2 linked regions of the Ovis aries genome follow. The main gene of each other region encodes a partner of the protein of the gene in region 2 in a complex. Links are inferred from orthologs where the notes say so. Each region holds a gene or a part of one and is shown on either strand. Other genes may lie near its edges.

What was found. Proteins that work in one complex are often made in the same cells at the same time.
Region 1: PHF20 (region 2) and KANSL2 share a complex: the UniProt entries of both Homo sapiens proteins name them as parts of the NSL complex. The link is inferred for Ovis aries from reciprocal best matches to the Homo sapiens genes PHF20 and KANSL2.

Annotation. Positions count from the first base shown.
Region 1 is NC_056056.1:137,499,090-137,510,017, forward strand, and holds the start of KANSL2 (KAT8 regulatory NSL complex subunit 2), read left to right. Parts: upstream 1-4,390; 5' UTR 4,391-4,421; intron 4,422-5,000; 5' UTR 5,001-5,016; coding exon 5,017-5,267; intron 5,268-6,261; coding exon 6,262-6,440; intron 6,441-6,927; coding exon 6,928-7,042; intron 7,043-10,325; coding exon 10,326-10,493; intron 10,494-10,665; coding exon of another isoform or gene 10,666-10,669; coding exon 10,670-10,832; intron 10,833-10,928. UniProt on the Homo sapiens protein: Non-catalytic component of the NSL histone acetyltransferase complex, a multiprotein complex that mediates histone H4 acetylation at 'Lys-5'- and 'Lys-8' (H4K5ac and H4K8ac) at transcription start sites and promotes transcription initiation.
Region 2 is NC_056066.1:65,068,530-65,078,858, reverse strand, and holds part of PHF20 (PHD finger protein 20), read right to left. Parts: intron 6,221-10,329; coding exon 5,821-6,220; intron 4,077-5,820; coding exon 3,546-4,076; 3' UTR 1-3,545. UniProt on the Homo sapiens protein: Methyllysine-binding protein, component of the MOF histone acetyltransferase protein complex.

The sequences.
Region 1 (10,928 bases), on a different chromosome or scaffold from region 2:
TTTTTTGTATTGCTCTTAAGAGTCCTTTCTCAGCATATTATTCTGCTCTTGCCTCTGTCTTCCTTGGGGCACCTCAGTTCTGGATGCTACTCCTGGGATCTCTACTGCTGTTACGTGAATGATAAGACGTAAGTGACCATTACAGTAAGGGCTCTTTGTAAAAAATTTTAAAAAATGTTTTTAAAAATTAAAAAAGTACATTGTATACATTTTATAGTCTGGCTATCAATTTGATATTTTGCTGTCAAGTATGTTTCTCAATCTGTATTTATCCATCCCATCAATAAATGTTAAACACTCATCTGATGATCATTTATGTGTGCTGAGTCTTCAAGTTAGTCTTTACCTGTCATTTCATTGATACAATAATAGTTGTCTTAGTTTTGGTAGTATAGTATGTACTTTCTTACTGCACAGGATCCTGTGGGAATTGAGTTCAGTGGGAATACCTAAGATTTGATCATCACAGGGAAGCTAACAGTGTAAGTATGATGTGGCTGAGGGGAGAAAGCCCTCATTCTACACTGTCATGTGGATACCTGGAAGGATGCCTGGCACACAGAGAAACAGACAGCTCTAACAGAAGATAGCAACATGTACTGCTTATTTAGTGAGCACTCTCAGTGATTCATACTTGTATATTTGGTTCTTTGAAAAAATCTGAAATGTTGGTATAGACAGCAGTGCTTTTAATAAGAAAAAAAATTAATAGCCTCTGATAGTGAATACTCACCCTTTTCCTGGGAAATAATAAAGTCACACACACAAGGTAATTCTTGTAAATTATACATTTAAATGGAAAGAATTTTTAGGCTATAATGCTTAAAATTATTTTTTTTAAAAAGTTAGAAGTAGCTCTAGTTTAAAAGCTCTAAAAGGAAAGATAAATTTAACAGTGTTAAACACTTCTTTTAAAAAAAAATCGAGTTCTGTGCATTTCTTCTTCCATTTTCTGAAATACTACAAGAACATTTTTGTTGGTGGTGCCCCTCCTAAAACTTTAGTGATAAAGTTACTGATATTTTAGGAATATTGGTCTGACTTAAATGGAAGAACAGAGAAGTAGTAAATGAACAGTGTGAGAATGGATATAAATTTATTATAAAGTCATACATTTAGTGATTTGCTTTTGTTAGATATCAGCTGTTTCATCCTTGGGAATAGATGAGGTATAAATCAATATAAAGTTCCAAACAGCTGGATCCCTAGTTACAGAGGTTTGTTAAACTAACTGGTATAGGGTTAGGGTTCAGTGCCTAAATCATCCTGGTCTCTGATGCTTTTGAAAACCAGTAAGATTGGCTTGATCTCTATCATTCAACATTCTGTAGAAAGTCTGAAGCCCTCTCTATGACTTCTGTGGATTCCCTTAGAGGCTTGTATTTATTGTAATCTCTAGCTCTGGGGCTACTTCTGTTGAATTCATTCAGTTTGTGGATTGTCACTTGTCTTGTGCTACCTTTTTTGCACTGTGGAATCTTGACCCTTTTCTTGATTCACATAACACTCAAAACCAAAGAACCCCAGTGATGAAAACAAGTTAAAACTGAAAGCTAGATTACATCTTTTCTGGAAAGTAGTTTTAGGCACTCCCTTGCTTTTCATTTATTCCTTAGTTAGAATATAGTATTTACTGAGTACTATATACCATTTACTGATGGCAGTAAACAAAGCAAGCATCTTGCCCTCATACAACTTACATTCTAGTTGAAGAGACAAAACATGCTAGATGATAAGTACTTTGGAGAATGTAAAGCAGGGAAGGAGAGGGATTTCATATGTGTGGGTAAGATTGTTGAAATTGGAAATAAGATGGCTAGGGAGGAAGGCCTTATGAAATTACAGTTCATCAAAGACCTGAAGAGGTGAGAGCAAGCCACAGGAATATTTGTAAGATGATTCTATGTTGCAAAGTTTGTGAGGTGAGAAGATAGTGGCATGTTTGAGAAAGAGCAGAGGCCAGTGGGGCTAGTTACAGAATTGACTGAGGAAGATGGTAAGTAGTAGGATAATGTGGTTATAGAAGCAGCAGAAGACTAGATAAAGTAGGGCCTTGTAAGCCATTATAAAGACAGTGAAATGGAGCGCTATTGACAAGTGTTGAGAGGTGACATGATCTAGCTTGGGTTTTAAAGTATTCATTTGATGGGGAATTCCCTGGTGGTGCAACGGTTAGGACTTTCACTGCCAAGGGTCCAGGTTCAGTCTCAGGTCAGGGAACTAAGATTGTGAGCTGCTGGAAGCTGTGAGGCGTGGATCCCCACCCCACCCCCAAAATATTCATTTGGCTGCTGTGTTGAAAGTGGACTACAGGAAGTCAAAGGTAAGGACACTCACAGTAATTAAGGTACAGGATGAAAGTGGCTTGGACCAGGTTGGAAGTGCTGAAGGTAACAAGAAGTACATATCTTGAAATTGGAGCCGGTAGGATCTGCTGTATGGAGAAGGACATGGCAACCCACTCCACTGTTCTTGCCTGGAGAATCCCAGGGATGGGGGAGCCTGGTGGGCTGCTGTCTATGGGGTTGCATAGAGTCGAACATGACTGAAGTGACTTACCAGGTTTGAAGAGAAATCAAGGATGACTTCCAGTGTTTGGCCTGATAAGCTGGAGGAAAATAGATGAGAGTGACTATAAAAAGTACAGGATTTTAGCACTCATTTATCCTCCTCCCCCTCCAACGCTCACTTCCTCTAGGATTAGCCCCCAAAACTCCAAATTAAAAATACCCTTCAATTCATCTTTCCTAACCTCTATGAACAGCCTCAGGTCTACTTGAACCTGTTCAGTAGCTAACAAAGTTCTCCTCGGATTAAAAACAGCCATCTACTTTGATAAAAAGCAGAAAGAATTTGCCAATATCTTGATCATTTAATAATCTCTATCCCTCCTCAACTTAGAAGTGGTTCTAAATAGCATATTTTGTCTTCTCAAGTTTAGTAGGATTTCACAGCATTCCCCGGCTCCCACAACTAAGGCCTTCTCTAGACTCCCTAATTAAAGCCTTTGTTGCATCTCTACCTAGTCCCTAATGCCTCTTTACATTGTTCTCTATAGTAGTTTTAATTTTCCTTTTTGATATCACTGCATTTGGTTGAAGATTCCCATGTTTTCTGTAATGTGACTGCCTCTACTAGTTTTAAATTATAGGATGTTTATAACAAATCTCTGTACTTCTGAGGGTTGGAGTGTTTGCTTATGTATGTAACACAGTCCTGGTGAGATGAAATGCTTTTAACTAAAAATTCCTTAAAGGATTATAAGATTGGGATTTATCTGCCATTCTATATACCTGCGTTATTTAGCATGGAATTGTAGAGAAGCAAGGCCGCAACTAGAACTCATTTACTCAATTTTCTTAGAACTCAATTTTCTCAGTCCAAAAAGTGAAAAAAAGTGAAAGTGAACTCCCTTAGTCGTGTCAGACTCTGAGACCCCGTGGACTATAGCCTACCAGGCTCCTCTGTCCATGGAATTTTCCAGGCAAGAATACTGGGATCTTCCCGACCTAGGGATCGAGTCTGGGCCTCCCGCATTGCTGGCAGACACTTTTACCATCTGAGCCATCTGGGAAGCCCTCTCAGTCCAATGCACTTCACGAGAGAAGAAAGGGGTAAAGAATGAGTTAGTCACTCAGTTGTGTGCCACTCTTTGCTCCCCCTCTCAGCCAGGCTCCTCTTGTCCATGGGATTCTCCAGGCAAGAATACTTCAGTGGCTTGGCTTTCCTTTCTCCAGAGGATCTTCCGGACCCAGGGATGGAATCCGGGTATCCTACACTTAATGTGGATTCTCTACCGTCTGAGCCACTGGGGAAACTCAGAATAAAGGCTGGGTTCAAATTCACCTCGCCCTATTTACTAGATATGGGCCCGTTCTATTCGTAGTTTCTAACTTCTTAGGGTTCTGAAAATTAAAAGTTTATATGTGTAATTTCCTAGGCTCAGTAAATACTTGAAAAAAATGTTTCCACAAATGAAGTGTTCACGAAAAAAAACTAAAGCCTTTTCCTGTATAGACAATGAGAGTCAAATGTACAGTGATTCTTTGGCCTCTACATGTCGATTTTGTTGTACCGACTATGTAGGGGTGGTGAAATAGCTGCAGCCTAAGATCACACACAGAGCGCCCCAAATCCGCCTGGACATCAGCTACGGTCGGAAATGTAAAGAGCTGTCCCCGCCGACCCACAACCCACGCTCCCTCCGCCTCACTCTCTCCAGAGCTGAGTTGCTGACAGACACCTCATCTAGCCACCCAGCCTCGCCGTTTCCCAGCGCCCCGCCCCCTGAACTCTATAGATAGCCAATGGTGACACAGAGTCGTAGGCTCAGTATCCAATCAGTGGCTGGGAGCCCGGAAAGGCATGGTTAGAAGTGGCTGGCGCTGCCAGAAAGCGAGTGGCGCGGCTCAGCGGCAGAGGTAAGATGGCGGCTGTGCTTGCTCCTCGGTTTTGGAGTTAGGCTGCTGCTTCGCCCCTTCTGTTTGTTCCGAGCTGCTACTCTGTCTCAGTCAGCGTCAGGGGCGCTTTACTCCTCTTGGCTTCCAGGACCCAGATTCGCCTGTGCTTGGAGTCTTAGGACAAAATGGCGCTTGCACTGGCCTCCGAGGATGGGCAGGGCCCAGCGTTCAGCTTTGAGGCGGGCCGGGACAAAGGCGGCATGCGAGGAGGCGGAGGCCAGGGGTGGGGCGGGTGGGTCTGCGGCGTTGCGCCGCGGCGTGCGGCAGGAGCTGGCGCTTCCGCCTCTTGCTGCTTCTCCCTCGTGTGGCGACCGTGCGAGCCCTTGAGATACTTTCAACGTGGCTGTGGTCGGAGTTGGGGGAGGGCTTGGACAGAGAAGTTGAGATGAGGCAAATTCAGTAATATCTTGGTAGACTTGGGCGGAAGGCAGTTAAGGAGCGTGACTTCGGCCTGGCGTTTTAGAAGCCGCGCGCAGTCTGCCCGGGTATTGTGGAGCTGGGCTTTTCGGGAAGGTTAAAGGCTTTTTGATCTTTGTGCAGCCCTGCAGGTTTTGGTATGAACAGGATTCGGATTCACGTCTTGCCGACCAATCGGGGGAGGATCACCCCAGTGCCCAGATCTCAGGAGCCCCTGTCTTGTTCGTTTACTCATCGTCCATGTTCGCAACCTCGTCTGGAGGGGCAGGAATTTTGCATTAAGCATATCCTTGAAGACAAGAATGCGCCTTTCAAGCAGTGTAGTTATATATCGACGAAGAACGGAAAAAGATGTCCCAGTGCTGCCCCAAAGCCTGAGAAGAAAGATGGGTATGTGTGTGTATATATATATATATAGAGAGAGAGAGACAGACAGACAGACAGACAGATAGATAGATACTGTCGTATGTACTTTTAGTTTTTAAGTGAGAGGAAGATGTGCCAGGATGTGGCCTTGGAAAAAGTCGCCAAGTTTTTTAGGCCACGTGTTTGTAAAATTGAAGTTACGGGTATATCCTTGGAAAATTTTTTAAAATGGTGAAAACGAAGAGACATCTCCTAGTTGGGCCGTTTTATTATCTCTTTGGCAATTTTACCTTGTGAAGGTTTCTCAGTCGTGTCCCACTCTGCGACCCCGTGGACCATACAGTCCATGGGATTTTCCAGGCCAGGATACTAGAGTGGGTAAGCCTTTCCCTTCTCGAAGGGATCTTCCCAACCCAGGGATCGAACCCAGGTCTGCGGCATTGCAGGCAGATTCTTTACCAGCTGAGCCACCAGGGAAGCCCTGTAAAATAAATTCTTAAGCCTAGGTTCCATGGCTCTTTTGGCTGTCCTTGAATCTTAGGTAATGCAAAATTGTATACATGTGTATTTTTTTTAGGAAAAGATTTCATCATTTAAACTATCCATGCACAAATAATTTGGCTAGATAATTCTGCATTGTGTCCCACATCTTACTACCTACAATGGATTGATTTTGAAGTGTTATAAAATGTAAAATTGCCTCCCAGAACCAATTTTGAGAGATGAAAGTGGATCAGTGTGACTTGTTGCAAAATGATACCAGCATTTTTATAGTTGGAATATTTCCTTAGATGGATAGATCACTGGAATATGTTAACCTGCATTTCCCTTCAGTAATACCAAATGAGTTGACCTTGCCCGTTAAATTACTCTGCCTCACTAGCATTTTTAGTCTATAAATGAAGATAATAGTCATTTTGATTGCCTGAAAATGATCTAAAGATCACTGTCTGTGGAAATCACTGAACTCTTGTAAGAGGGAGCATGAGTATGAAACGTTAATATTTTGTCTCCTTAGGGTATCCTTCTGTGCTGAACATGCTCGGAGAAACGCCCTGGCACTTCATGCGCAAATGAAAAAGACTAATCCAGGGCCTGTGGGTGAAACACTCTTGTGCCAGCTGAGCTCGTACGCTAAGACAGAGCTGGGGTCTCAGACTCCAGAAAGTAGCCGCAGTGAAGCCAGCCGAATTCTGGGTGAGGATCTTCTTTCTCATAATGAAAAAACAGGAAGAAAGTTAACAAAGAACTTTGGTTTATCTCAATGCCTTGAACATATGTGGCACTTGAAAGTACAATATTATTATTAATTCATTGCCAGTTTGGGAGAATTCAGGACTGCTGCTGTTCACCAGTCTTTTTGGTTTTAATTAGTGTGTGCTTAGGTTTACTTTATCCTGAGTTTATGACTCTTTCAGTGCTGTTTTTATACTTTACTTTGTTAGGTAAGATAATTTCAGGAAACAGAATAATTTTGAGTTGACCTTTCTGTCTTTTTGAGGCTATGGTTAACTCATTTGTGTTATAAGTACTTATACTCAGGAAGTATATTTCTTTGCCAGTGCTTCTGTATTAAGCATTTTTAATTTTAAGATTTGGATTGGTGTGTTAAGTAATCTAGTTTTGTGTGGTGGAGTTACAGAGGTGGGAAGTCTTAATGGCTGCTCTCCCTTCCTTGCCTCAGATGAAGACAGCTGGAGTGATGGGGAGCAGGAACCCATTACTGTGGATCAGACATGGAGAGGTGACCCTGACAGTGAAGCTGATAGCATAGACAGTGATCAAGAAGATCCCCTAAAGTAAGTTGTAACTCCACATAGGGCTTTAACATATTTTAGAAGGTAGTATGTGGATTGTAGTACTGCATGCTGTTAATAGATTAATAAGCTAGGAGGGTTGAAGATAGCTTAGCTATTTGTGAGCAGTAATAGCTTCTGCATATTGAAGTGTCATTATTCATCACCATCTTGCCTCAGAGTAGGAGTCAATTCTTTTTTTAGAAGTCTTGTAATTTGGGAAAATTTTTGGATATCAAATTCTACATGTGAGAAAATGCAGGGGGGAAATAGATTTATTGGACATAGGAGTTGAGAGGTGGGTAGAGATCAGAGAAGAGTGATGAAAATTTGTGCTTGACTTAAACCTCAGGAATGAAAAACTGATTATATTTGAGTAACAACTTTTTTACCCCCAAAGTTCTGATTAATTTATATTTTATTTACCTTTATATGTTTAAGAAAAATTAAAAGGTGTTTAAGAGCTTCCTTTGGTTTCATGCCTAAGAAAGAGAAACTGATTTAGAAACCTAGGAGTAATTGTCCTAATTACATCTTACTAAGGTTCTGCTCTTTACCTAACCCACGATCGCTTTGGAGTTACAGAACATTGCCACCCAGAAGTCTAATGTTTCTGTGTCTCATAGTTTGGGTTTAGTTTTTGTTTTTTCCTGACTTCTATCTCTTGATACTTCCCGCTGACAGTTTAGGTGGAAGAACTCTTAAATAGTGGGAGGGGTGATGCATTTCTAGACTTGACTGTGTTTGACAAATTCTTAGAATAGCATCTTCTTCATTCCTTGGATTCTGAACTTTATAAGAAGTCATTTAGGGTTCTATTTTCTGAGTAGAATAGTTTCATCTATTTTAAGTAATCTGAATTTAGAGAGCTATTCAGGAACTACTTGTTTGGAAAGTCCATGTAAGTAGTTTGAGAAGAAATGCTTGTTTCTAGCAGGATATTTTCACAGTAGAAACTTTATACTAAGCCACAGATAGATAGATAGATATAGATATTATATATATATATATATGGATGTGGATATAGATGTAATTTATATAGTTACATTGTGCTTCTGGAAATGCCATACTTGATTGTTTAAGTGATTGTCTTTGGGTGTGGTAAACACTCAGTTTGTAAGGTCCAGAAACTTTATTTTGTCTCTGCTAATCTAGAGTGGGTCAGTCTTCACTGATCTACATTTACGCTAACCTGACTTACATACAGGAGATCGGTGGTTTAGTCGCTAAGTCGTGTCCAACTCTTGCGACCCCATGGACTGTAGCCCGCCAAGTTCCTCTGTCCGTGGAATTCTTCAGGCACGAATACTGGATCTCCTGCATTGCAGGCAGATTGTTTACCGACTGAGCTAGGAGGGAAGCCCTTACAGGAGATTGTTACATGAAACAAAATACCAGTTAATTTTATGAGAAATAATAAGTGGTAAAAGGGCTAGATGTCAGTTTCCCCTGAAAGGAACAAAGGGCAAAAACAATTTAACACAATATAATAAGTGATTCCCTTTTTTGAAATTGGTCTAATAATAAACCTAGACTTATAGTTGTGCGTATCAGAGCAAGAAGAGTTAGTACATGATTTTTAAAATTAAAACTAGCTATGAATATTTGTGGCTCTATCTTTAAATAAATGACGCATTTGTCACATGATAGGCATTTACCTCGGAGAAGGCAATGGCACCCCGCTCCAGTACTCTTGCCTGGAAAATCCCATGGACGGAGGAGCCTGGTAGGCTGCAGTCCATGGAGTCGCTAAGAGTCAGACACGACTGAGTGACTTTCCTTTCCCTTTTCACCTTCATGCATTGGAGAAGGAAATGGCAACCCACTCCAGTGTTCTTGCCTGGAGAATCCCAGGGACGGGGGAGCCTGGTGGGCTTCTGTCTATAGGGTCGCACAGAGTCGGACACGACTGAAGCGACTTAGCAGCAGCAGTAGGCATTTACCTTAGTTAGGATGCTCATCTGCCTCCCCAAATGATTTGTTGTAAATTGTAGTCCCCAGTTAAATTCTCTTCTGAGGGTACAATGAAATTAATTTCATTCTAACAAATGATGTTAGGTTAAGGCCTCAATATTTTAGGGATTCAGGCATTAATGCAGATATGCCCCATTTTCTTGAATATGAATAACCTCATCACCTTGTTTAAACATTAGATAGTTTTGAAATTTTCACATTTTCTGAATCTTAGATTTTGCTGTTTTTATAATTTCAGAGTACTTTGTAGTTGTACTTTTCTTATACACAGGTATTATCTCCTGTTTATATATAAGAAAAGTTTTTGGCAGAGATTATTTGCTCTCAGTCCTAAAGTTAATAGTTTTATTCTGTGTATTTCAGTGATTTAAGAGTTAAATTTTAAAGAGCACATACTTTTTGGATTTAAAATTAGTATATAGTTCATGTATATTTTGCCTTTTAAATAATAGAAATAATTTTTACTAGATCAAAGTAGGAGAGTATCAAGTCAAGGTATATATCTAGCTGTTTTTCTTTTCTAGAATAAGGTTTTTTTTTTTTAAGTTTTGTTAATTCATAGTTGGTGGCAAAGCTTAATAAAGTTGATCTAGGTCTTTGGCAATTAAGGGTTTCTCCAGGGTACTATATTTTCAGAATATTGTCAAGAGAATGAGCTGAGGACATTGACTAGCCATTGGGATCAGTGTTTTGAGGGCTGGTATAAACTCCGAAATACAAGTGTAGCTTATTTTTATTTATTTATTTTTGGCTATGCTTTGTGGCTTATGGGATCTTAGTTGCCTGAACAGGGATTGATTCCAGGCCTTTCAGCAGTGAGAGCGTAGAACCCTAACCACTGGACCACCAATTAAAAGTGTACTTTTAAATTAGAAGTTGTAATTGTTTGTGATCTTTTGTACTTTAATTAAAATATATTGAGATACATGCTACTAAATTAACACTTTAATTTACTGGTAAGTGATTTTTTCTGTATTAAATTATTAAAGGGAACAAGACTAGATTAATAGAAGTTTTGAGTGTTCTGTATCTTTACTCCTGTTTAAACATAATGGAAATAACTGGAGAGCATAATGAAATGTTTTTCCTTATCCACATTTTGAGATCATACATTAGTATCCATTCTTGGGTAGTTTGTTTTTTAATGACAATAATAAAATTCTGTGAAAACATTTTTATTTAGTAAGGTGATTATCTTAGCACTGACTGCTTGTTGAATAGCAAACCTAAGTCTAACCTTTACTCTTTGCTCCTTTTAAGCTTGGGTCTTATTGTTGTGCCTTCTTATCCTTTTTGAATCATCTTATTCTAGACATGCTGGTGTCTATACAGCAGAAGAAGTGGCCCTGATTATGCGTGAGAAGCTTATTCGTTTGCAATCTTTGTACATTGATCAGTTTAAACGACTTCAGCATCTGCTCAAAGAGAAGAAGCGACGTTACTTACACAATCGCAAAGTGGAACATGAAGCTCTAGGCAAGTTTTATGCCAGTTCCAACAACCTGTCATGGGTTTAATCAACATGTAAATTTGGTAGTTAGACTTACTTCTTTTTTGTTACCTGGAGTGGAGAAGGATTTGCTTCTGAAACTGTTTGAAGATGCATCCTTGGTTGCTTGGCAGATAACATCTTGACTGTTTTGACTTTCCAGGTAGTAGTCTCCTGACTGGCCCAGAGGGACTTTTGGCCAAAGAACGAGAAAACTTAAAGCGTCTAAAATGTCTTCGTCGGTATCGTCAGCGCTATGGAGTGGAAGCCTTACTACACAGACAGCTGAAGGAGCGCAGAATGCTGGCCACAGATGGTGCCGCCCAACAGGTGATTTGTGTATATACCTCTAAGGTATATACACTTGCTTTTACAGAGAACACTTTGCTTTTACGGTGAACGCTATTGTACAGTTTTGTTTCTAAA
Region 2 (10,329 bases):
GTACCTTCATAAGGCTTTCCCATATTGAAAATCAGAGAGCCTGGTGTGTTAGCCTTCTGTTAAGAAAAGTGACTCTAACAGGACTTGGAAAGGTCTATTTTTATCTCCATAAATTGATTTGTTTCATGCTGATTCCTAGCATGAGTAGCACTGAATACTCTGATTTCATTTGCTAAATGTTTAATGTAAGATGACCAGGTAATAAGTTTCCCAGGTGGTCCAATGGTAAAGAATCCACCTGCCAGTGCAGGAGGCAAAGGAGATGCAGGTTTGCTCTTTGGGTCGGGCAGATCACCTAGAGGAGGAAATAGCAACCCACTCCACTATGCTTGCCTGGGAAATCCCATGGACAGGAGTTTGGCGGGCTATAGTCTATGGGGTCACAAAGAGCTGGACACTACTGAGCACAACCAGGTAATAACCAGTTGATTATCATTAGCTCAATATCTAAAAAGCTGTCTTGCTTCTGAGAGTATGATTTTTCTATAGAAAGACATTTATTCTTTCCCAAGCCACTCCCTTAAGCTCTGGCGTTTGGGGAGAGGTCATCCAGGAACCCTGATTCTTTAACAAGAGCCACCTCCACCCCGCCCCCCACAGGCAGGCCTGAGGTTTGCCCCAGCTTGCCTGTAGTCTTTCTAGTCTGTGCACCAACCTGTACTGAGAACTTTCTGGACCCTCAAGCCAGAGGTGCAGAAAGAAGAAGACCATGCAGGGCCTGTTCCTCAAGCAGTCTGCAGCCTTGCACATACTCCTCTGCCCTCTTCAGACCAGTCCTTCATCTTCCTTCCCACATTTCTAAACCCTTTGTCCCCTGCAAGCTATTTCTCAGGGAACCCCACCCCCTCTATAACCTGAGTCCGGTCCTTGAGTCACAGGTGCTATGCTATCACTTGCTCTCCTTTGGAGCACTTATCCTGGTTTGTAATTTAAAATAATAGGATGGGGCTGCCCTGGTGGTGCAGTGATTGAGAATTTACCGTGCAGTGCAGGGGATCCCAGTTCCATCCCTGGTTCAGGAAAATCCTACATGCCACAGGGCAGCTAAGGCTGCGTGCCACAACTACTGGCTGTGCTCTAGAGCTTGGAGCCACAACAGCGCCCACACGCTGCAGCTACTAAAACCCCAGCACCCTAGAGCCCCTGCTCCGCAACAAGAGAAGCCATCGCAAGTGCTGAGCCTGTGTGTGTGCACTCAGCTGCTGTTGTGTCTGACTCTATGTGACCCCATGGACTGCAGTCCACCAGGCTCCTCTGTCCAGGGAATTTTCCAGGCAAGAATACTGGAGTGGGTTGCTGTACCCTCCTCCAGGGGAATCTTTCCAACCCAGGGATAAAATCCATGTCTTTTATGTCTTCCTACACTGGCAAGCAGGTTCTTTACCACTAAGACACCTGGGAAGCTCACAATTGCTGAGAGGCCCCTGCTAAAGCCACTAGAACTACCTCAGATCTGGTTCAGGCTCACCCAAGGTGTCCCCCGACACCTTGGTGACCCAGTAGGCACACACAGGGAGAAAGAAACAATCAGTGTGCAGACTAGAAGAGTCTAGCCCAGAGGTCCCCAAACTTTTGGCACCAGGGACCAGCTTGGTGGAATACAATTTTTCCATGGACAGGGGTGGTGAGGGGGGCAGATTTCAGGATGATTTAAGCGCATTACACTTATTGTACACTATTTCAAATCTAATGCTGCCCTGATCTGACAGGAGGTACCACCAGTCTGAGGCCCAGAGGTTGGGGACCCATGGTCTAGGCCACTCATAGTCTATGAACTTGGTTAGGAGGAGTGTTTGGAGCTGCTAAGGGGGAAGTCTTCTCTCTAGATATGCAGAAATGAAGACCAGACACATAACTGTGGGAGCCAACAGCACCTCCTCTGGACCCCAGCATCTAGCCTGCTGGCCTTCTCTCCACACCAGGTGCTGGTCCATAACCCCAAGTTTTTCTTTTAAGGAAGCTCAATGGTATATGACTGCAACCAAGGCAGAAGGTTATAAGAATAAAGTTTCATTTCAAACATATTCCCCCATACCATCTAGATAGAGACTGTCTAGATAAGATAACATTAAAAAAAAAAAATCTAATGCTAAAATATTGTTTTCATGCTCATTAAATATCTTTATCTTTTAGTTTTATAAGACTGTTCACACACTACATAAGTTATTAAATAATGGTTAAATACTCAAACAATGACATTTGTTAAAGTGTAATCAGTCAATATAACGGCTTATTAGATTTTTAAAAAGAAATATTATATACAAATTCCTATAAAAGCTCAGTTCATCTTGAGGTATTTAGATGAAATGAAGATAGTAGAAATAAAATGGGATTTTGAAGAATCTTAAATACAACGCAAAATCGGTTTACGTGAGTAAAATCTTTAAACTTAAAATTGATTTTCTTGCTTCCGGTACCTCTCAGGGCCTGGAATTGAAGAATACAAGACGGAGTATGTGGCCCCAAATGAGTAAGACACATAAAGAGCCCTCTGAAAGCCCAGAGAAGGGAGCTCAGGCTTCTCATCCTGGCCTGGCCACACTGTCCTCTCAGTGAGCTCAGGGCTGGAGCAGCCCAAGCCGGGAGGGAGGGGGTACATCAGTGATTAAGTAGGTAGGCTCTGGCCTCTCCCCTGGGGCCGCTTCCTTTGGCAACAACAGAACCTTTGTCCTGTTTCTACGGTGCCTGAGCTTCTTCTTGGGGACCCAGAGTCAATTCCACAATTTTCAGTCCATCATTGGACACTCTTTCAGCTTTCTACCAGCAAGGTTTTCCATAGACCTGGTATCTGTTATAGTTCTAAGGAGCTCAAGGAAACCTTTTAGGAGTAAAGAGAGAGAGAAACACTCTAGCTTTCAGCAACACCCTCACAATGGACCCTGGACTGGCCTGCCGTCCCCAGTTCAGCAGGTTTGCCTCTGGGGCAGGCCAGGAAGCGTGTGGGCACATTAGTCTTTGTCCTCCAACAGGGCCATCCCTTTCCCAGTCAGCCACCTCTTAGCATCCTGCCTCAGTCACCCCTCCTGTAGCAAGAAACACAGCTCTCTCCAAGGCTCCACTTCAGTCCCTGGAGCTCCAGGAAGCCTTCCTGTTCTCGCTTCCCCTCTTGATAGCTGTCCTTCTCTAGCCTGACCTCACCCACACCCTCTGACCTTTGCTTACATAACACATGGCATTTTTCTTATGAGTTATTTCATCCCCAATTATAGTAATAATAGCCTAGCTATCCTCAGAATCCGCAAACGAAACATTTATTTCTTAATCAGCCTTCTTTCTAAGATGAAATAATAATAATAATTAGGAAATAAGAGAACAAGAAAGAGGAAGTCTGCCTTCAAAAACCAAACTGACAACACCCTGGGGATCAACATTTCAGTCCTCCAAGCCCATCTGATAACTTAACATCAGGGAGATATATCTGGGGGGAACATAAGTGACTCAAGTTCTAAAATATCTGCTGATAAAGAGGAGAAGGCTTCGTTTTAGATTTTAGGAAAGGCTGAAAAGAAGGGGTTTTCAGATTAATCCTCAGACATCCTAAAAGCTCAAAGCATCCAAGTATCAGCTCCCCACAGAACTCGGTCAGTAAAGACCTGCTCAGGACACACACCGCCCACAGGCAGAGCCCAGCTGTTCCACTGTGCTCTCTCCTGGGCAGAAGGGACTGGGAGAGTGAGGCTGGACCCCTGACAGCACACAGCCCTTAGAAGTGCCCAGTCGATACTGAAAGTCAGGCTTGGCCATCTTGAGGGGAGAATGGAGATGAGGGGACTAATAGAAGAGGCAATAACATAGCTATCCCTGGAAACCCAAATCAAAGGGTTCAGAAAGCAGCTCTTCCTATTGGCCCACAGAGCCTGCCAAGGACAGGGAGACCAGGAGGGAGCCCTACCATCCAGCTCCTTCTCAATGGAGTCCATCCTGTGCGTGACTTCATCCTGAAGGGATTCCACGTGTGTCAGCAGGTTAAACTGCCACTGGTGCTGGGAACTCAGCAACCCCTCTCCACCTCTGTCCAGCAGCTTCCGGGCAGGGGCTTCCTCAGGTAAGACCTTTTTGGAGACACAGTCCCTCACCTGGGGATGCAAGAGCATCAAAGTTACCGAATGGAGACAGTTCCCAGCCTCTTTTTCCAACCAGCGAGTGTTTGCACCCATTTGAGAACCCAGCTGCAGTTCGAGTAGTCCAAATCGCTACCTCCCCGCCCCCCTCCTCCTCTCTCAGGCACCAGGCAGAAGCGGGCCTGCCGTACCAAGAACAACTGCCTCAGGGCTGTGCAGACCTCTGGCTTGGAGGCTCCCCAACTGCTTCCCAATGAATGCCAATGCCTAAGGGCTGAAGCAGGCCTCAAAGAACCGCTTCCTGAAACCTGGGATCAGAGTAGAGCAGGGTAAGTGTGGATGAGTGTTAGTATGTGGGTGCTCATATGTAGACAAACAAATTTTAAGTCCTAGTTCCATGTCTTGCTGAACGCATGCACCTGGATGAGTTACTTCACTTCTCTGGGCCTCTATTCCCTCATGGGAAAGAAGAAGTAGTAAAACCTACTTTAAAAGTTCATGAGGATCAAATAGGATAATGTGAATAAAACACAGTGCTGGCTTGTGGTCAACCTGCCAGTCATGAAAGAGATTTTTAACTCTACCTGCCTGGTTTAGGCCCAGGACTTCTTGATTTTTTTCATCATGTTCCAGGTGCCTCTAGGCAATTTGCATAATTTGCAAGACCACAAACTTTTTCTGGGGTTTGTGACTGCAACCCTTCATTCATTGATTGGAAATGAAATAGGTTCCAGTTAACATCTATGGAGGAGTGACTGTGTGCAGAGCCACGTGCTGAGAGCTTTTCACAGGTGTGCTGCACAGTAAACTGAGAGGTCACCATCACCAGCTTCACTTGGCAGGGGGCTAAGGAGACACCTCTGAGGAGGTGAAGGGACCTGCTCAGAGTCACACAGCAAGTGGCAGCGCCCAGACCTGAAACTGGGTCTGCCTCCAAAGACAGTCCTCACCAGCCTTACCCAGCCCTGCTTAGACCCTGGCAAGGACACAGGCTGAATGCTGAGGGGCTTCTAATCTAGGCTACTCCCCCTCGGCGAGAGGCAGCGATGGACTTAGGGTGGTGATATCAGCCCACACAGCGGAGTCTGTGACAGTTAAGTATGACGAGGGTGGGGAAGCTTTCATCACCCAAACCCTCACTGACAACTGAGGATGGGAAGAATGAGACTAGGGAACACTGGCAAGAGAACACACAGGGCTCCAGAAGAGAACGACGTGAGTAACAAGAACCTGGGAGTATCTCTTGGGAAAACTGATGAAACCAGCAAACATTTGGACAAAATGGATTGTTCTTACGCCAGGGCTGCACAGTTAAAAGTAAAGTTGTCATAGAATTGTACTGAAAAACTTACGCCTAACAAAACACTTGACTCGTTCTCTGCTCTTGCTAAGGATTAGCACCCAGATGTAATGATAAACTGCACTGAAGAAAAAAAACCCTCATTTTCCTAACTTGTTTTCATTTGTCAAGTTCAGGTCAATTACCCTTTTCTTCTGGCTGCCTCCGACCTCTCCACCCCCACCACCACTGACTCTGCCATTTTGCCGTCAGTTCCTAGAACCAATGATATTTGGGGTTTAAGTGGGCTCTTTTGACTTTGTACTCATTTTAAAAGACAAAAAAAGAATATGATAAACAGATTTATATGCAGTTTTAAAATAAACACAACTCTATCATAAACATCTTCTACTGAACATTTAGCCCTGGGAGGAGACGATACAAGATATCAAACAAGAACAAGCACAAGCGAGCCAGTACCTTTGGGGAACTGGGTTTGAGGTCACTGTCCCCTCTGCTCCTGTCTTGGTCTAGAGGCCAGCCCAAGCGCGGAGACAGGGAATCATCACCGTTCTCGTGGCGGGGGTTGACAGCATCGTCGAGGGCAGAGCGCCGGGTCTCCACCACTAGCTTCTGTTCCACAGCTGGATAGTAGGTGCGGGGCTTCTGGTAGCAGTGCTCGCTGGTGATATAGGACTCCTCCACGGAGGGGGGCAGGGGCAGGGGCTTCTCCATCGCCCCGTTCAAAGTTCTATAGCTTGGGGCTTCCTCCCTGCTCTTGGCTTCAGTGACACGGATGTGTTTGGAATGAGACCGCCCCTCCGCCAGATGCTGCTTCCAAGGCTGGCACCACAGCTGCAGGTCAGGATGTCCCCGGCTTCTGTTGGGAGGGAAAATACCGAAAGGGCTCTAACCCTTCTAACCCTAACCCCTGGGACCACCGCAGGGGCTTCCTACACTAGGGGGAAGACCTCCCACCTGGGCCAAGTGGAGCAAGCCACCAAGAGGGACTGTAGATTCACAGCCTCCGAGGAGACCACTTCCAGGCAAGCTCTTGCTGGATCACTCGCAGTGAGCAGGAGTGGACTGGGAGTCAGAGGACCTGGCTGCGTTTCAGCTCAGCCGCTGATTACAGTACAGCTGAGCCGAGTCATTCTGCCAGCCTCATTCCCATTTCCTCCTCTGCAAAACTGGCTAACCCTCTGCCAGCAACCACTGAGTTTAAGTGAATTAATCTGAACCGAAGTCCAGTATTTCATTGGCAGTAAAGAGCTCTTCAAATGTGACTTACTAAAACTAAACTTAACTTAGGACTAAACAGTCATGATAACGCTGCCATGCCATGGCACTCAATTACACAAACCCAATGAATGCTTTCCTGGTGGCTCAGACAGTGAAAAATCTGCCTGCAATGAGGGAGATCTGGTTTTGAGTTCTAGGTCAGGAAGATCCCCTGGAAAAGGAAATGGCAACCCACTCCAGAATTCTTGCCTAGAGGATTCCATGGACAGAAGAGCCTGGTGGGCTGTAGTCCATGCAGTCACAAAGAACTGGACACAACTGAGCAACTAACACTTTCAGTGATGACCCAGGAGGAAGCTGGTAACCAAAAGTCACCAAGGCATAAGCCATTAATAACACGGTGTTTTGTTTTTAATATTGGCTGAGATTTATCTGTTGATCTGGCTGTGTCAGGTCTCAGTTGTGGCACTCGGTATCTCTGGTAGCAGCACACCAACTCTTTAGTTGTGGTGTGCAGGCTCCGTAGCTGCGGAGCATGGGCTCAGCTGCCCTGTGGCATGTGGGATCAGGGATCCAACCCAAATCCCCTGCATTGCAAAGTGGGTTCTTAACCACTGGACCCCCAGAGAAGCCCCTTAAAAAGAAAACAATTACTTGGCTATGCCAGGTTTTAGTGGCACCATGCAGGACATTTAGCTGTGGCATGTGGGACCCAGTTCCCTGACCAGGAATCAAACCCAGGCTCCCTGCACAGGGAACACATGGTCCTAGCCACTGGACCACCAGGGGAAGTCCCGATAGCAAGGTTTCTAAACATTCTTCAAAAATCGTCTGTTCTCCCCATTCCAAAGAGGATAATTTGTTATTAAAGAAGGACTCTCCTGGAGAAGGAAATGGCAACCCACTCCAGTACTGTTGCCTGGAAAATCCTGTGGATGGAGGAGTCTGGTAGGCCACAGTCCATGGGGTCGCAAAGAGTCGGACATGACTGAACGACTTCACTTTCACTAGATTAGGGCAAGCAATTATTTAAAAAATAAAATAAAATAAAATAAAATAAAATAAAATAAAATAAAGAAGGACTCTGCTCCCTTTCTGGCCAGCAGACACCTCTGAGAATTTCTGCCTACGTGTATATGTGTACATAAAACTGTGTATGACTATAATTATTCACTGAGATTTGACGCAAGAGATCTTTTAATTTACTGACTCATAACCACTTGTATAGAAGGAAAAATAGAACAAAAAATACCAGACTGCACCATTCTAAGAGGAGGTGTTTTGTGAAATTATAGTATGTTTTGTACATGTGATAAAAAATGTACTTCTTACTGTGGGATGTACATTTTTTGAAGTTTAAAAGCCACTACTCTAGATAAACTTCACCATTTAACATTTTGTTCACCACTCAGAACTTCCATTATAACCTTTGATCATTAAATGAAATGAAGGAGGAAAGGAAAAAAGGATAGAGGAAGAAAAACCAGGCTCCCCAAGTAAGGCAACAAGTGAGAAGACAGACAGGAGCTACTCGTGTTTGGTTCACAGATGTGCAGAAACGTGGGGACCCTGCCGACTGTCACGACTGCTAATTGTCACAGATGGACTGCTGGCACTCAGTTCATTGAATTCATGGATCCTAAATATCTTGTAACGCTTGGTACAATTCCACACATATAAAGAATTATGCCGTAATATAACTATATACATTATCCTCACCAGTCTGAGCTGAGAATCACTGAAGCCACATCAGCAGGAACTCACCAGCAACTCCCACATACAGGTCCCTCCACAACCACCAACACACACACACACACATCTTCCTGAAGCCTTCCAAAAGAAATGGAATACATCATAACTACGACAGCATGGAATGGGCTTACAGAACCTAAAATTCTGCCCATGAGGGGCTATAACTACGCTTACTCAGCCCTCCCACTCCAGCAATCCCCAGTACCACTCCCATCCACTGAAGCAGGAGAGGAGACCACCAGCATCGAGGCAGCCTGGGTCCCTGGCCACCTCCAATAGGGTACTGCAGTCTGTACCAGGACCCCAGGACCCCAGACATGCCTCTGAAATCATAATTGCAACAGAGGAAATGGAAGTCACTGTAGTCTGAAATCTGTTCACCTGGAGGGCATAAGCCATAGTATGAACCTGTTCTTGCATGAAAATCACAAAAGTCTTTGCCTCCTCCCTCCTACTATTTTCACCCTCCCGGCTAAGATCTGAAGCCTCAGCTACTGATAACCCTGGCCTTTCTCAGTAAGCCCTGTCGATCATGAAGAAGGTATGTACATTCATGCCTATTACTTTTTAAATGACAACAGATACTCTGAAGTTACACCCAGTTTACTGTTTGCCTCTGAAAATGAATCCACTGGGTTGCTTAGGAACAAAATTTTTGAGAATGAAGACTGTGCGCCTGTGATAGCAGAGACCATCCAGGTTTGCAGAGATAGGAACCACCTGCCCATCTCCCATGATCTCTTCTACCTATAATGACTAACAAGCTCTCCTGATGCTCTCTCCTGAACTGCTTGGAGAAGTCAGGTTTTAATTTCAGTACAAAGTCACTGCTACTAAGATGAAGGATCTCAACAGGAATTCGGAAGGAACAAGGTTCTGGAATATGGGACCCAGTTGGAGCACTTATATTTCCCTGAGCAGAAAGAAAAACATCTAATTGAACCCTCAAATGAAAAGAAATGCCGTGACATGTACAATCAGGATCTGAGGTTTCTGTGCACCTTCTATCTGTCTCAGTCAATTTCTGGCTTCTTATTAAGAAGAAATTCCTCTGGCTTACATGAAGTCTTCTGATTTTATAAAATGTAAGGGAACACCCAGTCCATAACATCCTAAACAGGGGCTGTCACAGTAATGGCTAACTTCCCCCAGTAACTATCCTTTCCTTCTGTTACCCACCTCCACACTCAGTCCTGGGTCTGCGCAGGGAACACAGCCACTTGGCTGGCCTCTTGCATTTAGGTGTGTCCACGAAACCATCTGTTCCCTCTCCAGGGGGTTAGAGCAGAAATGAGGTACAGGTGAGACTTCTTGGGTGAGACAGGTGAGATTAAACCCAATGGGATGTCAGAGCAATAAGACAGAAGGAACCCAAGTCCATAGCTAGAATCATGGCAAAAGGCCACTTACCTGGCCTGGGCTCCTGCCTACCTCTGCTTTATGTGAGAAAGAAAATTCCACTTTGCTTTAGCCTTTATTTTTTTGGTCTTTCTTATAGCAGCTTGGCTTTTACCCAAATCAACACAGTCTCTTGCCAAATGTGCTCTGCTCAACCACTTCTTGCCACGCCAGTGCTGGAAGCCGAGTCTCCGTGCACCAGAATGCAGGAGGAAGCAGACCCTCATTCTGTCATCTCCAGGCTCTGGCATTCCACTTCACCTAGCACAGGAGGGCTCCAGGACTAATGAGCACCAGGGAAACCTTGTCGGGGACTGGCTCATGGGCTCTAACGCATGTGTGGGACTAGAGTTTGCACTGTTGATGACTTCATTAAAATGGTGCTCTATAGGCAGGCTCATGGGAGAGCTTAAGGATTCCATCCCTGCCATACCCTGTGCTACCACCAGAGGAAAATTCACAGACCCACTGAGAAGAGGCAGTTAGAGATACGGACAAGGACCTGATGGGAGCTGGGACCTGAATTGTAGCCCTGGAAACCAAGGAGATGGGCTGTCCCACTCAAGGCCCAACTGCCCTATTTGGTAAAGTGGGAAC